6 linked regions of the Oryctolagus cuniculus genome follow. The protein of the gene in region 2 purifies or fractionates together with the protein of the main gene of each other region. This does not show direct contact. Links are inferred from orthologs where the notes say so. Each region holds a gene or a part of one and is shown on either strand. Other genes may lie near its edges. The genes, in order: CDC27, MAD2L1, KIF20A, ANAPC1, ANAPC7 and ANAPC4.

What was found.
Region 1: the proteins of MAD2L1 (region 2) and CDC27 purify together in Homo sapiens (affinity purification with western blotting; 29 studies listed by BioGRID and IntAct, with this or other methods). This does not show direct contact. The link is inferred for Oryctolagus cuniculus from reciprocal best matches to the Homo sapiens genes MAD2L1 and CDC27.
Region 3: the proteins of MAD2L1 (region 2) and KIF20A purify together in Homo sapiens (affinity purification with mass spectrometry; 4 studies listed by BioGRID and IntAct, with this or other methods). This does not show direct contact. The link is inferred for Oryctolagus cuniculus from reciprocal best matches to the Homo sapiens genes MAD2L1 and KIF20A.
Region 4: the proteins of MAD2L1 (region 2) and ANAPC1 purify together in Homo sapiens (affinity purification with mass spectrometry; 3 studies listed by BioGRID and IntAct, with this or other methods). This does not show direct contact. The link is inferred for Oryctolagus cuniculus from reciprocal best matches to the Homo sapiens genes MAD2L1 and ANAPC1.
Region 5: the proteins of MAD2L1 (region 2) and ANAPC7 purify together in Homo sapiens (affinity purification with mass spectrometry; 3 studies listed by BioGRID and IntAct, with this or other methods). This does not show direct contact. The link is inferred for Oryctolagus cuniculus from reciprocal best matches to the Homo sapiens genes MAD2L1 and ANAPC7.
Region 6: the proteins of MAD2L1 (region 2) and ANAPC4 purify together in Homo sapiens (affinity purification with western blotting; 14 studies listed by BioGRID and IntAct, with this or other methods). This does not show direct contact. The link is inferred for Oryctolagus cuniculus from reciprocal best matches to the Homo sapiens genes MAD2L1 and ANAPC4.

The regions. Positions count from the first base shown.
Region 1 is NC_091448.1:16,996,662-17,000,161, reverse strand, and holds part of CDC27 (cell division cycle protein 27 homolog), read right to left. Parts: intron 648-3,500; coding exon 495-647; intron 1-494. UniProt on the Homo sapiens protein: Component of the anaphase promoting complex/cyclosome (APC/C), a cell cycle-regulated E3 ubiquitin ligase that controls progression through mitosis and the G1 phase of the cell cycle.
Region 2 is NC_091439.1:45,314,113-45,318,276, reverse strand, and holds the start of MAD2L1 (mitotic spindle assembly checkpoint protein MAD2A), read right to left. Parts: upstream 2,801-4,164; 5' UTR 2,318-2,800; coding exon 2,245-2,317; intron 1,223-2,244; coding exon 1,076-1,222; intron 1-1,075. UniProt on the Homo sapiens protein: Component of the spindle-assembly checkpoint that prevents the onset of anaphase until all chromosomes are properly aligned at the metaphase plate.
Region 3 is NC_091437.1:25,991,818-25,996,091, forward strand, and holds the start of KIF20A (kinesin-like protein KIF20A), read left to right. Parts: upstream 1-1,474; 5' UTR 1,475-1,697; intron 1,698-2,120; 5' UTR 2,121-2,142; coding exon 2,143-2,307; intron 2,308-4,091; coding exon 4,092-4,178; intron 4,179-4,274. Other genes in the region: BRD8 (bromodomain-containing protein 8), read right to left, coding at 1,107-1,125. UniProt on the Homo sapiens protein: Mitotic kinesin required for chromosome passenger complex (CPC)-mediated cytokinesis. Following phosphorylation by PLK1, involved in recruitment of PLK1 to the central spindle. Interacts with guanosine triphosphate (GTP)-bound forms of RAB6A and RAB6B.
Region 4 is NC_091433.1:113,096,715-113,100,214, forward strand, and holds part of ANAPC1 (anaphase-promoting complex subunit 1), read right to left. Parts: intron 2,974-3,500; coding exon 2,828-2,973; intron 2,644-2,827; coding exon 2,423-2,643; intron 1,712-2,422; coding exon 1,502-1,711; intron 1-1,501. UniProt on the Homo sapiens protein: Component of the anaphase promoting complex/cyclosome (APC/C), a cell cycle-regulated E3 ubiquitin ligase that controls progression through mitosis and the G1 phase of the cell cycle.
Region 5 is NC_091452.1:8,080,090-8,083,589, forward strand, and holds part of ANAPC7 (anaphase-promoting complex subunit 7), read right to left. Parts: intron 1,966-3,500; coding exon 1,779-1,965; intron 1-1,778. UniProt on the Homo sapiens protein: Component of the anaphase promoting complex/cyclosome (APC/C), a cell cycle-regulated E3 ubiquitin ligase that controls progression through mitosis and the G1 phase of the cell cycle.
Region 6 is NC_091433.1:20,493,248-20,496,747, reverse strand, and holds part of ANAPC4 (anaphase-promoting complex subunit 4), read right to left. Parts: coding exon 3,381-3,500; intron 1,600-3,380; coding exon 1,525-1,599; intron 1,384-1,524; coding exon 1,357-1,383; intron 1,272-1,356; coding exon 1,227-1,271; intron 329-1,226; coding exon 244-328; intron 1-243. UniProt on the Homo sapiens protein: Component of the anaphase promoting complex/cyclosome (APC/C), a cell cycle-regulated E3 ubiquitin ligase that controls progression through mitosis and the G1 phase of the cell cycle.

The sequences.
Region 1 (3,500 bases), on a different chromosome or scaffold from region 2:
TCTAATGGCCGCCGCGGCCTGCGCACCGCGCTGATCCGCAGGCAGGAGCCAGGTGCTTCTCCTGGTCTCCCATGGGGTGCAGGGCCCAAGCACTTGGGCCATCCTCCACTGCACTCCCTGGACACAGCAGAGAGCTGGCCTGGAAGAGGGGCAACCGGGACAGAATCCGGTGCCCCGACCGGGATTAGAACCCGGTGTGCTGGCGCCGCAAGGCGGAGGATTAGCCTAGTGAGCCGTGGCGCCGTTCAGACAACAGCAATTTTAAGACAGTCAAATCTTGATTAATCCTGAATGATTGATCTGTTCTGTGATTTTTCTATTTGTGAATCTGTACCATATATTCTAGGTACCATATATTTCTTGTCTGCTTCTCAGCCTGGACAGAGAAAAATAAGGGTGAGTGATACTAAACAGTGTTTAAACTATTTGGTTTATCTCCATCTGATAAGGGTGATTAAGGTAACTATGTAAACAAAGTGTTTTGGCTGTCTTACCTCTGGTGAATTTTTATCCATGTCTGTTAAGTCTTTTGAAAGAACTGAAAGAGCAACATCTTTTTGAAGATGCCAAAGTGTCGTAGAGTAGATCTCCATGCCTTCAACTCTGTAATTCTCAATTCTTCTAACCTCTGAGAATATTCTTTCAGCCTGAAATACAAAAACTAGTAAGGGGAAGGGGAAACAAGCAGATCCAGTTGACATGTCTACAGGGAGAGTACTGCTCAGTCTTCACAGGCTCTAAATGGTGCCTTTTATGTGGATTAGTAATAACACAAGAACACACTGAGCGACTTCCTGTGGAAGGTCAATATTGACATAACCAATCCTACTTATATGTAACCTGCTTTTGATACACAACTCATACAAAGAACATGAGCTCTGAAAAGAAAATTTGAGTTTCTACCAAACCACAGAAAATTTACATAAAGTCATAATTTAATAAAGACAAATTAATATTTTGCTCTTAAAAAACACTTTTCCAGTTTTACTAATGGTTTTATAGAATAATTCTCTCAGGAAAGATGATGGGAAGAATGAACTGTACAACACAGAATGTGCTTTTTGCACTGTCTTTTATTGAGAGGAAAGAGGCTCACAATCCTGTGGCGTGAGCAGCACTGAACACATCCACAACGCTGCCACAGCCGCAGCTGGCGCCCCCACCTACCAATTCCAATTAGCCTTGCTCTGCAGCTAGGTGGGCATCTCGGCACCTCTCCTCAGTGTCAGCTCCTATTTTTCTCCTCATCATATTCACAGCTTCCAGAACTGTGCTTCTCTCATCCTGAAGTTTGAGGTTTTAGGTTATATAAAACCTAAACTTGATAGATTAGTTTTCTAATCTATCAAATCTATCAAGTTAGTAAATTCAAAACTCTCCAAATTTAGTTCAGAATAAGCAATATCTGTGCCGTTCTTAATGAAATGATGAATGAGATGAAATAAGAAAAGAGCACTTATAAAACTGTGAACTTGATGATTTGTAATATCCCTAAAAATATCATGAAAGTTATAAAGGTAAGTTTTTCAAATAGGCATTGGTTATGAGAAGACAAATTCAACCACCAGTCAAATACAGGAACCTGTTGGTTTCAAATGCTTTAGAAACTACTGCAGGGTCAGTGTTGTGGCATACTGAGTAAAGCCACTGCCTGTGACGCCAGCATTCCATATGGCTGCTGGTTCGAGTCCTGGTTGGTCTGCTTCTGGTCCAGCTCCCTACTAATGACATGGGAAAGCAGCAGAAGATGGCCCAAATGTTTGGGCCCCTGTCACCCATGTGGGAGACCTGGATGAAGCTCCTGGCTTTGACCTGGTCCACTTCTGGCCTTTGTGGCCACCTGGGGAATAAGCCAGTAGATGGAAGATCTCTCTCTGTAACTGACTAAAAAAAAAAAAAGGGGGGGGGGGAAGACACATCAATCTAAGCTCAAACTTTAGTTAAGTCTGAGTTACCACTCTAAAATTAGGGAGAACAATAAAGTTTATATAATAAAAAAACTTGTGAAACAACAAATTAGAAATAATTTTGAAAGGGGCTTTCCAGTTTTTGCCTACGTGAATACTGTATGTACCAAACATGATTCTAGCAGAAGCAAAGTTTAAGGTTTCCTGCCTACAATCCTCTTTAATGTGTTATACAATATCCTCTGGCTGGAGGAGGACTTCTCCCTTAAATCTTTGCATGGTTCAAGAAAGGAGGTATAACTTTCCTTTCTGGAGCTCTCTTTTTTTTTTTTTTTTTTTTTTTAAATCACAACATATTCCACCATCTCTCAGTTTCCTTACTATGCTTCATTTTCCTTCATGGCTTGTTGTTACCTGTCCTAATACATTCCTTGGCTTACAATGTCTCTTCCTAAGATGTATGCTCCACAGAGGCAAGAAACTGTCTCCTTAGTTTAGGTCTAGAAAAGAGTCTAAGATATAAAATGCACTAAAACAAATATAGAATATATGAAAATAAACAGAGCAAAAATGTAACTTTGTCACTTTTAAATAATAATTAATTTTGTTAATATATTTCTTTAATGTTTTGGCTTTCTTTAAAAAAGAAAAATTTATTTATTTATTTGAAAGGCAGAATAACAGAGAGAGATATTTCATCTACTAGTTCACTTCCCAAATGCCCCCAATAACCAGGATTAGGCCAGGCCAAAGCCAGGAGTGTCAAAATCCATCTAGGTCTCTGGCCCAAGGTCTGGCCTCAAGGCCCATACGCCTGGGACTCAAGTACTCCAGCCATCACCTGCAGACTTCCAGGCACATTAGCAGGGAGCTGGATGGGAAGTGCGAAGGACCCAGGACTAGAACCAGGCACTTCCATATGCTATAAAGGCATCCCAAGTGGTGGCTTTTACAGGCATTTCAAGACTGAACCAGCAGACAGATGATCCCTGTCAGCTTCTCTCTGCCTTTCAATTAAACCCATAAAATTTTTTTAAAGATTTATTTATTTAATTATTTGAAAGAGTTACACAGACAGAGAACGGTAAGCAGAGAGAGGTCTTCCATTTGCTAGTTCACTCCCTAGATGGCCTCAACTCCCAGAGCTGAAGCCAGGAGCCAGAAGCTTTTTCCCACACAGGTACAGAGGCCCAAGCACTTGGGCCATCTTTTACTGTTTTCCCAGGCCACGGCATAGAGCTGGATTGGAAGTGGAACAGCTGGGACTCGAACTGGAGCCCATATGGGATGCTGGCACAGCAGGCGGGGGCTCTACTTGCTTTGCCACATCACCGGCCCCGAAAAGAATTTTTTAAGAAGATGAAAAAATTTGAAATTAGAATTTTCTTTGCCTTTAGGTTACTCAACTTAACTTTTTTGGTATAAAAACATAAAGAACATATTAATATTAAAAAGATAAAAACCTTGGCCGGCGCCGTGGCTTAATAGGCTAATCCTCCACCTTGCGGTGCCGGCACCCCGGGGTTCTAGTCCCGGTCGGGGCGCCGGATTCTGTCCCGGTTGCCCCTCTTCCAGGCCAGCTCTCTGCTGTGG
Region 2 (4,164 bases):
AGAGAATACATCCAATTAACCTCTATAAGTATTGAAGGATTTTAATATTGTATATATGAATGGCAGTTAAATATTTACATATTATCTAGGGGATAATGTAGCTTGAAAGAGAGATAACATGGTAACAAAATTCAGATGCCCATCAACAGGGCACTTTAAAAACAAAGTTCATGAAAATACAATGAAAATTATAAAGCATGAAGCTATAATTGAACTAAAAAATTTGAGAAAAAAAGGATTTCTGAATTTAAAAATTCCCTTCCCCTCAAAAAAAATATTTAGTTACTGTAGCACTCTTTGGAAATAACATGGGAAGCCAAATTGAGAGAAACACACTACAACATAGAAAATTAGAAATAAAAACCCTAGGCAGAGAAACTAATAAGAGTTCCCGAAGTAGGTAAAAAACCAAACAAATGGAGATCAAGTTTTGATCCAACAAGGAATACAATTTCTTGAGCTAAAGCAAGTGTTCACACAGAAAAATTTGTGAATTTTTCTAACAAATGGAAGTGGTTGAAAAATAAGAAAACTCTACTGGATATCTATTGAGTAATTATTCTTTTTTCTATTTTTGAAGTTTACTTCCCTAGTTGCATTCATTTTTATTTTCCTTGATCTTAATCTAACAACTTTATAGACGCCAGTTACAGAAAACCAACATACCATATAAGAACATATACCGTACATTTTCTTAAATAGATAATGAATGCCATTGGGATCATGCAAAATTCCATGTTGTTCCCCTGGCCACATTACCTGCAAAAGCTATTTCAAAGGGATTTGATGCTAACTGTTTTGTTAAGGCTGTGTAAGGTTTCTGAAAGTAAAATATCCAGCCCACTTAAAATGTAGTGTGTGTGTGTGGGGAGGGGGGTGGATAGGGTTTCTACCAATCTACTTCAATCACTATTATTTGCTTCCTCCCAATTGAGAATCACTATATTTGAGATGGTTGTTTTTTTTAAAAAATTAATACTTTGATATAGGAAGCTGAAAAAGGCCATTTAGCATGATAGAAAATGTAGCTCTAGGAATGCCTGCAACACTGGAATTTTTTCCAATGATTAAATACCTTTTAGTTGTTCCACCACATTATTTAGGTATTTGATAAGCTCAGGATCAGTAGTTACAAGCAAGGTGAGTCCATACTTCTGCACTCGAGTAAAGGTTTCAGATGGATATATGCCACGCTGATACAAAATGCTGTTGATGCCAAATGCTGAAAGCAAAACAAACATGTAAGTCATTGTCCTTTTGTACCAATGGAAAATAAAGTATGTTTAAATGTGACTAGTTTCATTACTCTTAAAAAACTGAAAATGGTTACACACATTTATTATATCTCGTGGAAACCAAAGTAATCAGAGTGCCATCAACATCCTTTAATTCAGGTCTGCCTTATGGTGCAGGTTAACTCAGTGCCTGTGACGCAGGACATCCCATACTAGAGTGCTAGTCCAAGTCCTGTTCTACTTCCCAGCCTTCTTTCTGAGAATGTGCCCTGGGAAGGCAGTAAAAAATGACCCAAATGCCTGGGTCCTTGCTAGCTGTGGGAAACTAGGACGGAGTTTCAGGCTCCAGGCTTCAGCTTGGTCCAGGCCATTCAAAAAAATAAGTATTTTTAAAAATCCTTAAAATCTTGTTACCAAGAGACAACTAAACAAAAGAAAAATGCCAAACTGCCTTAACCTACCACTTCCCAATTTTACCGTATTGTAAGGCAAGCCCAAGTTCAGATTATGTGTTCAGAAGACGCCAAACTAGACTTTTGCGACCCAGAAAACACGTGAATGAGTTTCTGGTCCACTGCGTCCGGCTAGCCTCTCCCTCTTTTTCCTCCTCACTGTTCTTTGAGGAAGTACAGCTCCCACACCTGGGCTGAGGGTGGAGTCTAGGTGGAAACACACGCGCTCATTTGGTGTCCCAAGCCTCTAGGAGGAGGGCGGGGTGGGTGGTGAAATATGGGGGGAGAATGGGGGGAGGCATCAACATATTAAAGAAGCATTTCGCTCCGTTAGAGGCTAGGCCCGGAGGCAGGCCTCAGGGGCACCTAGGCCTCCCCCTGTAGCATCAGCATAGAGACCGCACAAGCGTCCGCATCTCCTCTCCCCACACTCCTCCCGGGCAGCAGAAGGCCTGCAGCGGCCAAGGCTTCAGGGGTCCGCGAGGCCGAGCCGTAGGCCTCCCGCGCCGCCAGGCCTCAGGTATCCCCACCCTCCGCCGAGCGCCAGGAAGACTCACAGAAGAACTCGGCCACAATTTCAGCGCTCCCGCGCAGGGTGATACCCTGCTCCCGGGCTAGCTGTCGCGCCATGGCCAGACCCACGGACGCCAACGCGCGCTTCCGCTCCGCAGACCCAGACGGCGGCGGTCCACAGCAGTTCCCCGCCACCAGTTTCAAATGTAACGACGCAGCACGCAGTCGCGCCCTTTGCGTAAACGCGACGAGCCTCTAAGCCCCGCCCCTCGCGGCGGGGCCCTGCCCTTCCTCTCTCGCCTCCCCGACTTCGCTGCGGGGGGGGGGGGGGCAAGGAGAACGACAAGGCCGCTTTGCGCAGGCGCAGTTGGTGAACTTGGTCGCCAGGTTCCAAGTTTCTACGCTCTGATGTGGTGTTGGGAGATATTCTCTGGCGTGGTCGCCCAGGTACTTGTTTGGCCGCGCAAAGAAGGTGGAAGGTCTGCGTTTAAATGGTCGCTTCATAGACCTGTGGCTTTAGTGACCAAGAGAGGCGCACTTCCTAAATTTGAGAGATAACTGTCAAACTGTTGTGAGCCGCCTGGCCGCTGCACCTGAAGCAACCCGCAGTGCACGCTTGGGGGATTTTTAAAGGAACAAAGTATGCAGCTGCCAAGTAGTTTAGGCAGGCCTGGTGTCTTTGTGGGAACGCGGCTTTTCCGGAGAGACGGAGTTAGAGATTAAAGCGACAAACCGCATCTTGCTTTTCTGTCCCCTGCCAAATCTGTCTGGAAGTATGGCCTTCCGTCACAGACCAGGGTGTGTGTTTGTGGGGGTGGGGGTGAGGGGCGGTTGAGACCTCCTCCAGGTTCTGTCCTTTCTATCCATCTTTAGGGGGCTGGCCTAAACCTCACAGAAGAGGCCCATCGACACTGAAGAATTAACTCACTGAATTTTCATTCGCAAATTCAATAGGATGAGAAGTGTTAAGGAGGTAGTGCACAAGTAGCATTGATGTCCATTGTGAAAGGATTCTTAAAGCATCTAGGGAGATCAAGTCTGAAATGTAAAATGAAGTCTGAAAAACTCTCCTATCTGCCAGACATATGCATACTGTTATTTAAGTATATGAGAAATGCTTGAGTGTGTGTGTTTTCTATTGCTTCGGAACAGAGTACCATAAATTGGTGGCTTAAATAAAAAAAAACACCAATTGTTATCTCAGTTATGTAGGTACTGAGCATGACGTAGGTTCGATGTCACACAAGGCTAAAATCAAAGGTCTGCAAATGTGGTCTCATTTGCTGTTTGGGGTCCCCTCCCAAACTCCCTGGTTGTTGGCTGGCAGAACTACATTGCTCGCCGTTGTTGGAGTGAGGTCCCCGTGTGTTGTCTTGCATGTTTGTCACATGTCTTTTCCCATTTCCAGTCTCTGATTTTCAGGAGACCCTTGATCTTTGGGAGAGCTCACCTGAGTAGGTCAGGTCACCTCCCTTTTGATTAACCTAATCCCAGAAGTGATATTCCCCTTATAGTTTTAGGTTCTGCCCAAACTCAAGGCAAAGGGATTATATTGGATGTATCCCTTCAGGGGCTTGGAATTTGGGCCTCCATCTTAGCATTCTATTAGTGTTATGTATCAGATTTTTAACCATTTGAAGTTTAAAAATGAACATAATCGGTAATAGGCTAATATAACCCAGTGAAATATTTTCCTTATATCCTTTATTGTGTGTATGTGTAGAAACTGCAATCTTTGATATTAGGGACAATAGGTGATGTGAGGGTAAGGAGAAAGAAACTTGGATGTTCTTCATCCCTTCTACTGGGAGCTTAAAAGTAGGACTAGAATTTGCCATCAGACTAATAGTGTGGTGTCCACCTTTCTCTGTATAAAATTTGCCTCTCTTTCTAAGAAACTCCATGTTAAAACAGCATTCAGGAAAGAATTTCTTGGGTCTTGTAATAACATAGTTTGGAAGTTA
Region 3 (4,274 bases), on a different chromosome or scaffold from region 2:
ATGGCACCTACTGTATTCTTTACACTGGCATTATAGCATTATATTTTTTCAAATGCCATAGCTCAAGCTCAGATTAAAAAAAAAAAAAAAAAAAAGGCAGGGAATGGGGAGAGAATGCCAGATTAAGACGAACCAGTTGGGGTCGGTGCTGTGGCATAGTGGGTAAAGCCGCCGCCTGCAGTGCCGGCATCCCATAAGGGCGCCGATTCGAGACCCGGCGGCTCCACTTCCAATCCAGCTCTCTGCTGTGGCCTGGAAAAACAGCAGAAGATGGCCCAAGTCCTTGGGCCCCTGCAGCCACAAGGGAGACCTGGAGGAAGCTCCCGGCTCCTGACTTGGGATCAGCGCCGCTCTGGCGTTGAGGCCAATTGGGGCGTGAACCAGTGGATGAAGACCCCTCTCTCCCTCTCTCTCTCTCTCTGCCTCTCCTCTCTCTGTGTAACTCTGGTTTTCAAGTAAAAATAAATAAATCTAAAAAAAAAAAAAAAAAAAGGTGAATCAGGCTGTCACTAGAATACAAGGATTCCAATTTGAACGGAAGGGCTTATTTCCCAGGATTCCGAGCGGCCGCCGGCCCCGCCTCCCTCTTAGCATAAACTTGTTTACTCCCAACGGCCCCTTCCCCCCAACCGTCGGGCCTGAAGGTCCTCTCCTACCCCAAACACGGAAATGGCTGAAACGCACGAAACGCAACTTCCCCACGGACAGAAAAAAGCCCACGGCTCAAATACGCACTTCCACTGCCTCGCAACGTTGGTCCGAGAATGACTGGCTCTTTGAAATGCCTGCCACTCCCACAGAGCTCGCGACAACTCTTCATCAGCAACCCCAGGTTTCCAAGCTGCCTTTACCTCTGACCCTACACAGCTCATAACACAAAAATTCACGGAGCTGTTTTTCTCGTCCTTCTCCCTCCCTGAGGTGAAAGACCGTAAACTCTGGGGCCCTCCGACGCTTATCTTCACGACACGGCCTAGCCCAAATCCCTGAGGACTCCGGGCTCCCCGCCAAACCACTCTTTCGATTTCCTAGCCGTGCGACAGAAATGTGGTGTTTAACCCCGGCTCCCCAACGGCCTCCCAAACAAAAGCAGCCCCGATACTCACTGCCCGTCCCCGTCGCCATCTTGGCTCCGAAGTCTAGCTCCTGAGGAGAGGCAGTCCGACTCGGCCGATCTCCGGGAACTCTGGGAAATAGAGTACGGGCGTTGCTTCGCGGTGCCTCCTGGGAAATGTAGTTTTCTCTCCGAAGACGTAGCGAACGCTCTGAACCAGCGGTCTTGTGCGTTCCGGGAAAGGGCTGTTACCACATAAAAGACAAAATGGCGACTAAAACTTCACCACTTCTTTTAGGCCTCTTGGGAACGAAATGTCTAGACTTCAAGGAAAAGAGTCAGGAATCCCAGGTGAGACACCTGAGAGCCCGCAACGGTTGGTAACCCGGACCCACATTGCAGTTGAGAGGTCACGCTCAAGTAAACGGTCTCCCAGTCGTCCCCGCCTCCTTCCCTTACGCTGATTGGTAGCTACAGGCTTCGCCAGCTGATTGGCCGAGCGAACGCAGCGCGTAGTTTAAAACATTGTATCGGGAACAAAGCTGCACCTCGTGGGTGGAGTTTTACTCTCAGGCAGCCGACGAAGTGATTCGGAACGAGACGTAAGCTGGTACCGCAGAAGGAGCGAGTGTCACGGCCTCGGGTGAGTGTGCGGACGGGCTGCACGCAGCGTTACCAGCTCTTGCCCGCGAGGAGTAGGCGTCCGGAAAGCGGAACTGGAGACGCCTCGTCTCGGTGGGCGTTGGGGTGCAGTCGGTGGAGCCTGCGATCCTCCCAGCCCCGGCGAGCCAGGCTCCCTCCTCGGAGCGTGGCCTTCCGCTTTTGCAACCTGATAGCCCAGGATTAACGTTCGCCTTCGAAAATGCCGCCTTAGGCTGGATTAACTTTCAATCCTCATCGCCTTTCCCTCTGCAGATAAGATACTGGGGCTGGGGCAGTGGGTGGGGAAGGGCGTAGCAATTCTGGCAGCCGGGCCAGGTGTCTTGGGACTGGGCCTTTTTTTTTTTAACCTGGTTTGAAGCCTCTTCGTCCCAAGTCCTTGCTTCACTTTCTTGTCTCCTTTCAGACCTCGGCTGCCCCCTGCTGTCATGTCGCATGGGATCCTTTCTCCGCCCACGGGCTTTCTGTCAGATGAGGAGGTGGGCGTCTCCCCCATGTTTGAGTCCACAGCTGCAGATCTGGGGTCTGTGGTTCGCAAGGAACTGCTGTCGGACTGCTCCGTCATTTCCGCCTCTCTAGAGGACAAGCCACAGGTAAAGGACTAGGGGGAGTGGCTCGGGCGGCGGAAGGCCTTAGCCACAGTTGTCCACGCAAGGTAGAAGTTCTGAGATAGCAATTCAGAATTAAGGGTATGACAAGCAAAAACCCCGTAGAATATGTGGCCTCAAGTTCCTGCTCATGGTTAGCTCCAAGGGAGAGAGCAGTTCCTTCTCTTCACCACGAGGCCCAGTTAAGTGTTGGATAATTTGCACAAGTTCGTCCTGGTGTTAAGTGCAATGGCTTAGCAACATCAACCATTTGTTTAGCTTTCCGCTAGGCCAAGGTTTCTCAGCCACAGCATTATTTGACATTTGGGGCCATAGTCTTTCTTGTGGGGGTTGGCCTTTGTATGGTAAGGTGTTTAACAGCATTCTTGGCCTCTGTCCACTGGATGTCAGTAGTAACTTCCCTATTCTGATGACCAAAAAGTCTAGAGATCACTAAATGCCCCTTGTAGCTGGGAGAAGTGGAGAAATGGCCCTGGTTGAGAGCCACTTTACTAGGCCCAATGCTGAATGTGTTTGTGTGGTTTTTTTTATAAGATTTATTTATTTATTTATTTGAAAGGCAGAGGCAGAGAGAGGTATCCATCCACTAGTCTACTCCCCAGATGGCCACAAGGGCCGGAGCTGAGCTGTTCTGAAGCCAGAAGCCAGGAACTTCTTCTGGGTCCCCGACACGGGTGCAGGGGCCCAAGGACTTGGGCCATCTTCTGCTTTCCCAGGCCATAGCAGAAAGCTAGATCGGAAGTGGAGCGGCGGGTCTTGAACCAGTGTCCATATGGGATGTTCACACTGGAGATGACAGCTTTACCCAGTATGCCACAGCACCAGCCCCTGCTAAATGTTAACATGCTTTGTTATATTGTCTTTTTTTTCTTATCTTTTTTTTTTTTTTTAAGATTTGTTTATTTATTTGAGAGATAAAGTTACAGAGAGAAAGAGATAGAGATCTTACATCTGCTGATTCACTCCCCAAATGGCTGTAATAGCTGGAGCTGGGCTGATCTGGAGCCAGGAGCCAGAAGCTTCTTCTGGGACTCCCAGGGCCTATGCCTGAGGGCCATCTTCTGCTGCTTTCCCAGGCCATAGCAGAGAGCTGGATCAGAAGAGGAGCGGCCGGGATAGGAACAGACCGGCACTCATGGGATGCAGGCGCTGCAGGCATCTGCACTGCATGCCACAGTGACAACTCCTGTCCTTTCTTAGAGTTTTTCTTAGGAACTTAAAGTTCCATCAGAATCGAGTCCTTGACAGTGTCCCTCATGGACTACCAGAACCTGTTGGAGTTTGGGCCATAGTGGGCACTTTGAATGTCTGTTGAATGCTTGAACTGGGTGCTATTAACTCCATTCTACAGATGAGGAAACTGAGGCAAAACATTTTAAAAGCTTGTTCAAGGCTTCATAGTTACTAAATGATGGAATTGGAACTCAAATTCAATTGCGTCTGCCTTGCAGCCTCCCAGCAGCTTAATGACTTGATATCCAATAGTATCACATACAGATTTTCATACCAATCAACCACTTCTAACTCAGATAATTGGTATGGCAAACTAGGTTTGGAGGATACTGATAAGACAGAAAAGGGTGAGAAAGTAGTAAAAAAAGAAAAGTGTGTGTAGGTTGGAATGATTGTGGAACCAAGACTAGCTGCACAGACATTTGGAATGGAATGGGGTGATGTCAGTGTGATTCCTAGGAACTGTGCTGTTTGCCATTTGCTCAGAGGGGGCTGCTGAGATTAATCCATGGTTCCGGATTGGAATTCTGCCACAGGTTCCACCAGACAGTGCAGAGAAGGTGAAAGTTTACCTGAGGGTCAGGCCCTTGTTACCTTCAGAGTTGGAACGACAAGAGGATCAGGTGAGTGAGGAGGGAGTAATTTAAATGGAATCATGTAGTAGAGAAGAGGTTCCCAGGAATGTTTTCCTGTGTGACAACTATTTTCCTCCATCAAAG
Region 4 (3,500 bases), on a different chromosome or scaffold from region 2:
CTTCTGTGTATAAAGTTAATTGAAAACGAATCTTAATGGAGAACGGGATTGGGGATGGGAGAGGGAGGAGGAGGTAGAGTGGGAGTGGGGGTGGGAGGGCGGGTATGGTAGGAAGAATCACTATATTCCTAAAGTTGTACTTATAATATTTGTGCTCACTAAATAAAAGGTTTTTTTGGGGGGGATGGTAAACAGTCCATTTGCCTCCTATACTCACTTCTTAGTCTTTATCTCCTTGTTCTAGCCTGCTTCACCACCACCACCAAGAAGTAACTAACAAAGAGACCCAAAGTCACCAGCCCACCCCTATCACCACACCTCCTCCACCCAAACCTCTCACTCTCCAACCTCCACCTTACACTGCAGGCTGAAAATATCCAACATGGCTGCTGACTATGTCCCCACATCAACCCACACAGCTAATTATAACAACATTATAATAAAATTACCATTGCTGACATTCCTACTCCCAAGAAACATTATGACACTTCTGGGACTTTGTAAAAAGGAAAAAAAAATGGAAGGTGTTGGAGCTGGCATTGTGGCATAGCAAGGTAAGCTGCCACCTACAATGCCAGAATCCCATATCAGAGCTTGGAACTTCTGGCTTTGGCCTGGACCTGGACCTGGACCTGGACCTGGACCTGGACCTGGAGCAGCCGCAGGCCCAGCCAGTGAGGCCAGTGAACCAGCAGTTGGAAGATCTCTCTTTCTCTACCCCCTCTTCAAATAAATGAAAGAGAGAGAGAAAAAAAATAAAAGGTGGTACTCAAACCCTACTCCAAACATCATCATCTATAAATTTTCAATTCTTTTACCCTCTCAAGATCACAGAAAAGGGGTAATCCCAACACCTGCTGGATTCCCTCTTGATTGTGTATTTTCACTTTGCAAATAAATCCTATACTTTCACTGTATCTTATTCTGCTGCACCTTGCCTGTGCCTTGTCCTTAAATTTCTTCCTGCACTGGAGACATGGACTCAGCCATCCTACAGCAAACTCACTGCACCCCAGTACCTCTTCTCTGAGATAAACTCTGTTTAAACTCCTCTCTGAACACTTGACCAGCACCAGGCAATCCTGGCACCTCCTCCTTCTTGGAATGTTCTCTCTTGTTTGCTCTACAATTATCTGACCTCTCTTGCTTTGCCTCACTGCAGAAGCTCTGACTCTTTTTACCTCCAAAATTTTAAAAATGCTATAAAAACCTAAATTTCCTAATCTTGCAAAAATTAGTTTATCCTCTAAACATCAAACACCTCAAATCTGATAGCTTAATATTACTAAATAAGGAAGAAACATCAAGTGGCAAAACAGTATTTCTATGATCACTTTAATATCATTAACATCCTCACTGAAACCAAAGTGGCCTTAATACATAGCTCTATATATTCTCAGGGGTATTAACACATATTATATTATAATAAAGCTTTCAGCAAAACACCAAATATTTTCTTCTAGCACATTTTTCTTTGAATATAAAAATATATGCTCCAAACCTTATATTAGTGATCGTTTCTGTCCACAAATGGTCAATACACAGCTCAGGAACAATTGGCTCTGTTTCTGGTGCAAGAAAGGAGCCATTGGAATTGCTGGTTGGAGAATGAGAAATACTGTGTCTCTTTGGAGACTGATTATGGCTTGAAACATTGAACCTTTGCACTCCTGAAAAAGAATGCACTCCTAAGGCAGGAGAATGGGCACGACTGCAAAATAAACAGAGGAGAACAGTGTGTGACACTTAGCAATGCCGCCTTAGGTAACATACCTTCTGAAAATTCTACACACAGAATATTCATGGCACAATCCCAGTCAGAAAATCCTAAAACGTTTTTAAAGGAAGAACTATTTAAATGGTTCATATTGGCATACTTCACAGTATTCTATACATTTAGAATTCTTCTTAAAAGAAGAATTAAATTAAAACTAAGAATTAGTTCACTTTCTTCCTCAAAAATTACTTTTATTATTTAAAAAGGTTTAATCTGTATTCCTGTATAATGATATACCCACCAAAAAATTATGTCCCTATCGCACTTACAACTCAATTAATATACAAATATATTACCAGAGATACATATAGTTAACAAAAACAAAAGAAAAACTAATATAAATTAAGAAAAGAAAAGAATATCTAAATATTTTTAGAATTAATATTCATCAATAGAAATGAAGCAACCAATCTTAGGACAAGCATAGGCAACTTCTAAATAGGACTCAGCAAAGAAAAGTGACATAGCCAACTTGGAAGTCTTAGCTAAAGTAACACAAATAGGATAATGGCTATTTTCCCTAAAAAAAAAACACCCAGGAGCAGTCTAACTTCTAAATTCTAAATCCTTCAAGATGTAAGACAAAGCTTGCAAAGGTCATCTTTTCCTTGGGCTGTCTTATTTAAAACAAGGAAACACTTCCACCTGAGAGCTGCCATGTTGGAAATCGAAGGTGAGCGGGAATGCAGGCTGGGTGATGAGGCTGAACGGCTCTGGCTGTGAATGGAGGAGTAATTCTGGAAAGGGGAAGCCACGGGAGAATCTCCTTTGGAGAGGCTTCTGAGATGTGCTGTGAGGGAGCTGCTGGTGGCCGCGTTCTGTGGGGTTCCCCCCTGCTCAGAGAACTTTAAAACAGCATTCTCTTCCTTAAGTCAAATGAAGAGAAGTAAACACAAAGATAATAATTAGAACAAAAGGGCAATTTCCTTGTGAGAATGCAAGGTAGATGTGATATCTGTTTTCCCTAAAAAGGTCAATCTATTTCGATTCTTCCAAAAACACCGGAAGGTGTTCAGGATTCACGGCCCTGTTGTGTGCCTTTATCCTTACCTCTGGCTTGACTCTCCGGAGAGTCCACACAGAATGCACATTCTGAACAGAGTCATAGGTCATTACGATGGAGGGGTCAATGTTAAGGAAAACAATTTTCATTGCTGGATCTACAACATAATGCACCCGTGTCGAACCAAAAAGACCTTAAAAATAAAACAGAAACAATCAGATACACAACAATGGGCTTCACAAGACCCATCTTTATGAACCGAGTTCTTAAAATTCCACAAGATAAAAAGAAACCAAGCCAAACAAAGCACAAAGGACATCATTATCCCACATGATTAACTGAATTTTTAAAAATTTACTTTGTATATCTTCCTTAAAATATATTAAAGATGAGAGCATTACAAGCTTCACTTTCAAATACATGCAAGTACACTCTAAAGATTTCCTCTGATGCCTCATCAAATTCAGCAGCCACAGGTAAGAGGTCCATGACTCTTTCAACACCCAACCTATGTATAAACTGTAACCAACTATCTGCCAAGTTTAACTTCCTTAGGGGTCCTTTTCTTCTGTATGAAATCTGTCCTCTGTAACAACTGTTCAAACAGTACTGAACAATACACTACTGTTTCTGCTTTACCATCAACATGTGCAAAGTGTTTTCATACTGAGTTCAGCTTTTACTTCTACTGTTTGATGGATTAGTTTCCATTGCCTTACT
Region 5 (3,500 bases), on a different chromosome or scaffold from region 2:
AGATATATTCCATTTGCTGGTCACCCCCCAAATGACCACAACAGCTGGGGCCAGTCCAGGCTGAAGCCAGGAATCAGAACTCCATCCAGGTTTCCCACGTGGGTGGCAGCAGTCCAAGCACTTGAGCCACCCAATGCCTGCTGCCTCCTAGGGTGTGCATGAGCAGGAAGCTGGAATTGGAGTTAAGTAAATGAATTGGAAGTGGAGTTGGGATTTGAACCTAGGATTCAAACTCTGATATGCTATGCAGGAGTCATCCTGAGCTGTATCTTAACCACTGCACCAAATTCCCATCCCTCCAGTTTCTTACTATTATAAAACACTGCAATGAGCAGTTTTAGTTTTATATCTTCAAAACTGTGAGCTTATTAGGGTTGATTTTTTTTTAAAGATTTATTTATTTATTTGAAAGGCAGAGTTACACATACAGAGAGGAGACACATAGAAAGAGGTATTCTATCCAATGGTTCCAAACGGTTGCAATGCTGCATTGGCCAGGGTTAGGACAGGTAGAAGCCAGGAGCCAGGAATTTCATCTAGGTCTCCCATGTGGGTGCAGGTGCCCAAGGACTTGGGCCACCTTCCACTGCTTTCCCAGGTGCATTAGTAGAGAGCTGGATTGGAAGCAGTTGGGACTTGAACTTGTCCATATAGGGTACTGGTGCTGCAGGCAACAGCTTAACTCTCCGCACCACAATACCAGCCCCCATTAGGGTTAATTTCTAGCAAGTGATGAGGACATTACAATTTTATGCCTTCTTTACTTAACTAATTATTAAGCAGTCAAAATTGCCAGGAATTGATTATTTACCACAAGTTTCCCCAGATACTCACAAATCTAACTGAAAAGCATTCTGTGTTGTATTTCCATTAGTTATAAATACTGGGCAGGCCCTGTGGTACAGCACGTTAAGCCACTGCTTGGGACACTGCATCCCACACTGGAGTGCTGGTTCCAGTCCTGGCCCCTCTGTTTCACCCAGTTTCTGCTAAAGCATCCTGGGAGGTAGCAGATGACATCTCAAGTGCTTGGACCTCTGCCACTCACATGGGAAACCTGGATGGCGTGCAGGTCTGGCCCAGGCCCAGGTGCTGTGGGCATGTGGGGAGTCAAGCAGCATATGGAGTATCTGTCTCTGTCATTCTGCCTTTGAGTAGATGAACAAATATAAAAAAAAAAAAAAAAAAAACTTCACATTTTTTATCTGTATAAAATGGAGAAACAATGTATGACTGTCAGTCTAGATAACTCTAGATAATTCATGTTTAATTTTTAGTCTCATTGCTCTTAGCCTTTTTTTTTTTTTTGGACAGGCAGAATTAGAGAGAGAGAGAGAGAAAGGTCATCCTTCCGTTGGTTCACCCCCAAATGGCTGCTACAGCAGGCACACTTCGCCGATCCGAAGGCAGGAGCCAGGTGCTTCTTCCTGATCTCCCATGGGGTGCAGGGCCCAAGCACTTGGGCCATCCTCCATGCCTTCCCGGGGCCACAGCAGAGAGCTGGACTGGAAGAGGAGCGACCGGGACAGAACCGGCGCCCCAAGCGGAGGATTAGCCTAGTGAGCTGCGGCACCAGCCTACTCTTAGCCTTTAATACTTAGTTGGACACATTCGCACATCCACATGGATTTTTCACCTTTCTCCAGTCATCTCCCCTTTAAAGTTACTTCCTATCTGACCACCTTTTACATCTAACTAACCATCTATCTTCTAAATCCCTTCAGTCCCTCTCTCAAAAAACCAAAACCAAAACCAAACACAATTCCATCTCCAATTACCTGACTTTGTGGAGTAGACGCAGAATTTCCAGTTGAAGGTCTCACTTTTGAAGTTTTACTAAGGGCTTTCTTTTGCTGTAAAGCCATGGTATACTTACTGACAGCATTCCGGTATTCCTTATCGTGAAACAGAGAGTCAGCATGATACACCAAGAGCTGGTACTTCTGAGACGGGGAGAACAACTCCCTAGAAAACAGAGAGAGTACACCCCCAACGTGGGTTATTTTGCAATACAGGAAGAACATCTTAGTATCCACATTAGTCTAGTACAAAGTCTTGTACAACCGCAGTTTAAATAAAGTAAAAATACTTCTAATACATTGTTTCTCCATTTTATACAGATAACTAAAAATGTGAATTTTTTTAATATTTATTCATCTACTCAAAGGCAGAATGACAGACAGATATTCCATATGCTGATTTACTCCCCAAATGGCCCTTAAGTGAGAGGTTTAAGAAGTTGAATCTTATGCCAATAATGGTCAACACATCTAAAATAGTACCTCAAGTTGTTTTGTTTCTTGGGGTTTTAAAAAAGATTTTATTTCTTTTATTTGAAAGGCAGAGTGACATAGTGATCTTCCATCTGCTGGTTGACCTCCCGAATGGCTGCAATGGCCTGGGCTGGGCCAGGCCAAAGCCAGGAACTTCATCTGGATCTCACATGTAGGTTGCAGGGAGTCAAATACTTGAGCCAACTTCCACTGCTTTCCCAGGCGCATTAGCAGGGAGCAGAAGTGGAGCAGCTGGGACTCAAACTGGCACCCACATAGAATGCTGGTGTCGTAGGCTGTGGCTTAACCTGCTACACCACAACACTGTGCCTAGGTTGTTCTGTTTTAATAAGATTTTTCCTTAATGATTTCCCTTTACTTAATATAAAGAAATGATACCTATAAATCAAATCCAATTATATATATATATATATGTTTATTCTAAACACTCTTAATGTAACAGTTTGAAATACAGATATACCTTCATCTATATAGTGTTAATTAACATCAAGTTTTTAGGCCAATGACGACTTAACTAGCATTACTAAAGATGCGGCAAAGACCTGAAAAAAAGAAATCTCACCACTTTGACTCCTTTTTAGGAAGGAGCTGAACAAAGAGTTCAAAAAAGAACTGGAAAACTCTTTAAATACTGAAGAGGCCAATGTTGTGACACCGCCTGCAACACTGGCATGCCATTTGCATGGGAGTCCTGACTACTCCACATCTGATCCCGCTCCCTAATGCACATGGGAAAGCAGCAGATCGCCAGAGTGCTTAGGCCCTGCTACCCACCTGGACTAGTCTTGGCCACTGCATTCATTTGGGGAGTGAACCATGGGATGGAGGACCTCTGTCTCTACCTTCTCTCTCTGTAACTCTGACTTTTAAATGAAGAAATAAATCTAAAAGCAGAGCTAGATCTTGGAACCACTGGTTCATTCCCCAAATGCTCAACAGCCAGGGCTGGGCCATGCTGAAGCCAGCAGCCTGGAACTCCATTCGGGTCTCCCACATGGGTGGCAGGAACCCAAGCACTTGGGCCATCACCCATCCGCTGCTCTCTGATGCACTAGCATGAAGCTAGACAGGAAGCAGAACAGGCAGGACTGGAACCAACACTCCTAAATGGGACTGCAGACATCCCAAGCAACATCTTAATCCTCTGCACCACTATTCAATAAGAAAATTTAAAATATAAGAGACAGAAGCTGGCACTGTGGCGTA
Region 6 (3,500 bases), on a different chromosome or scaffold from region 2:
TCGCACAGCAGGAAGGACGCTCCATCATAACCAAGTGCATTATCCCATGTCTTTGTTAAAGAGAAACAAATTCCACCAACAGCCCCTGGTCTCTACAGACATCCTAGCACTACTGCTGTATCTCAGTAAGAGAACTAGCCTCTGAACATTCAAGAACGAACAGTCCCACGGGCTGAAGCCAAAGAAAACCATAAACGAATTAGCTACCAGAAACGATGGAGACAATGGTAAAGACAAACTTACCCCAGTGACTCGGGCGATCTTGAACATGCCATAAGCATACAGTTCAATAAAGCCAGAGCTTCCTCCAAGGACAAGAATATTAAGCCTAAGTAGAAATAGTACAGTGAGGTGAGGCGCACTGAGCAGAGATGACCGTGTCTTAAACCAAGACAGAAACTCTGCGCTGTCATCTCCCCTGCAGTGGGACACGCACAAACGCACCACCACTCAAACCCAGAGTTCCTCAACTCCAACACAAATCCGCTTACGGTAAACTAAGAATACATGATACTAACAATTACACTCTCGATGACAAAACAACTATTTTTCCAGGTAATACAAAGTTCTACAGCTTTATCACGGCTATCATGCTAACTACACTAAATGGGATTAAAGGAAACTTATATTCTTAAATTAAAATTTTAGAAATTTCAATCCTCTTTTGCTTGTTAATAAACAAAGGCACACTTGAGGCCGGCGCTGTGGCTCACTAGGTTAATCCTCCACCTGCAGCACCGGCATCCCATATGGGCTCCGGGTTCTAGTCCCGGCTGCCCCTCTTCCAGTCTAGCTCTCTGCTGTGACCAGGGAGGGAAGTGGAGGATGGCCCAAGTGCTTGGGCCCCTGCACCTACATGGGAGACCAGGAGGAAGCACCTGGCTCCTGGTTTTGGATCAGCATAGCACCGGCTGTAGTGGCCATTTGGGGAGTGAACCAACAGAAGGAAGACCTTTCTCTCTGTCTCTCCCAATGTCTATAACTCTACCTGTCAAATAAAAAAAAAAAATTATAAACAAAGGCACACTTGAATGGTACTGAAGTCTGACAAAATGAAAGCCCACACAATAAAAATAATAAATATTAATGTATGTGTATGGTACGGAGGTGTTACGTCAACGACAAGAAAAACAGGACAAAGAAAGGCTGGACTTTGGCAAACTGCCTCAACTATGAAGTAGCAACTTTAAGAAGCCAGATTTAGTTAAGATCTCTATGAGACCTACCTGACATCTCCCAAGAGCTTAATAATTTCATCGGAATTTTCTTCACTAAAATATAAAAATAAATTGGGTCATCTTTCAATTGTTTCAAACGACAAGAGATTATCATACATGAAAATAAGGCACATCTTACCTAAATATTTTTGAGGTGTTGCTGTAGCTAGAAGAAAACAGAGATGGGATAAAAATACTCGTGATAAAAAGTTTAAAAACACACGAGAAAACTGATCATAGTGTTGAAAGTAGAAGGAAGTGAAATCTGCAAGGCTAATTCCAAAAAAAATAAAACTGTGATACTTACTTTTTTGGCAATGTAGGCAGTTTAGGTAACAGAAGATTTGACTCATCTTCAGCATTATAAAAAGATGTCAGAACACTAAAAAAAGGTAGTAGAAAAACACCAAAGATTTTACTTCTCTTTCCATTAAAAAAGTGAAGTTTTTAAAAAGATGCTCAGTTTTATAACATTACCAACTAAACAAATGCTGCAACTATTTCACCATTGTGAGAGTCAGTGTAACAATCTCAAATGAAAAATATAATTAGAAAGTTTCTTTTAAATTTTGCAAGAAAAAAATGCCCACCCACTTTATATTTACATGAATGAATAATTTTCTCAGTGTCTGAAATATATTCAGTATTCAGAGACTGATTGAGAATTTATAATTTGTCAGCTTTACTTAAGAACCTACACTGAACATGTTAAATACTCAGAGTAATTTTAAGGAATGTTGTGATTACTGTATCATTTAATTATTGGTTCTACAGCTTACACACACTTGGGATTTGACAAACCTGCAGGTATGTCACATATCACATATTTTTAAATTGTCTTACTTATCCCTTTTTATTTTTTAATTCTACCTTAAATAAGATTAGAAATAAGTGAGCAGGTGAAAAGGTAGTGATTCAGTAAATATTTTTTCCCACTTTTTCCCCAAAGTAGCTGTCCTGAGATCCTGTAATCCCACATAATTTTTAAACTACCAGCAGAAAGTATGCTGGGAATACACAGCAAGTGACTGGGCTGTGACAGGAACAGCATGGAGACTGCTCCTCCAACCTTGTAGAAGTTCATATGGCCATTTGCACTCCTTGATTATTTGATAATGGATTAATCACTCTGGTTTATCTACAGGGAATGTGGAACCCCAGGCTAGATCCTTTTCATCCACTTCCGATCTTTTCACCAATTAAAAATGATGTTCAAGATTTACAAATTCATTTGATATTAACTCAGTGGACTTAATTAGAAAGGAAAAGCTAACGGGAAGAAAATCACATGACATCAGTCTCCCCTTCTCTGCACTTTCCTGCTCCTTGGTTTCAGTCACCCAAGTTCAACGAGGGTGAGTACAGAAAGATATTTTGATAGAGACGGTAAGAGGAAGAAGACGTTCATAGAAATTTTAACACAGCATACTGTTATAAACGCTCCATCTTCCAATTAGTTTCTGTCGTTCTGCTCTTTACAAATTTAACTTCACCACCGGTACATCTGCATAGAAGGACCACAGTGTATACAGGGTTCAGTACTACCCACCATGTCGGTTATCCAGTAGGGGTCGTGCAACTCATGCCCTGTGGAAACGGGGACTCCTGGATCACACCCTCCCCCTTGAAATCTGTTTTTACCAGTATTAGGCAAACCCAGAGACTCCTTAGGCCACGTTCACTGCACACCCGGTATATTACTTGACTACACAGACTAGGTCAACACTGTTTTCATGAAACAAGGAAACTATCAGGACCAGGACACAGAAAAGAATCCAGCATCAGAACAGAATGCTCCATTTCAGACTTTTCATAGTCTAAGGATATTTACTAAGACACAAAAACAGAGCTCCAGACGAATTAAACAGTGAGCAGACTCTCACTGTGCTGGTCCGTAATTAACTAATATCACTTGAAAGTATACACCATTGACATACACTGCCAACATGCAGAGAAAAATTCTGGCCCGCCAGGCATTATTGCTCCAATAAGAAAATTTTTCAAAAGAAAAAAATTAAAATATTCCATCTTACAAGCTTACAGCCAAAATTTAAATGAGGCATACACATACTCAAAATACCACTAAGTCTCCACTTTAAAAAATGGCAATTTCATGAACAGCCTACCCTCCCTTCCAGAGTTGTTCCCTTCTGGGTACTCTACCTGCTTTCCACAGTCACTTCCATCCAATGCATGCAAGAAACAGGAGCCTCCACAGAAAAAGAGTGCAAGCTCTCAGGTTTCTCTACATCACACAAAACAACTTTCTTGGTGTCAGCAAGA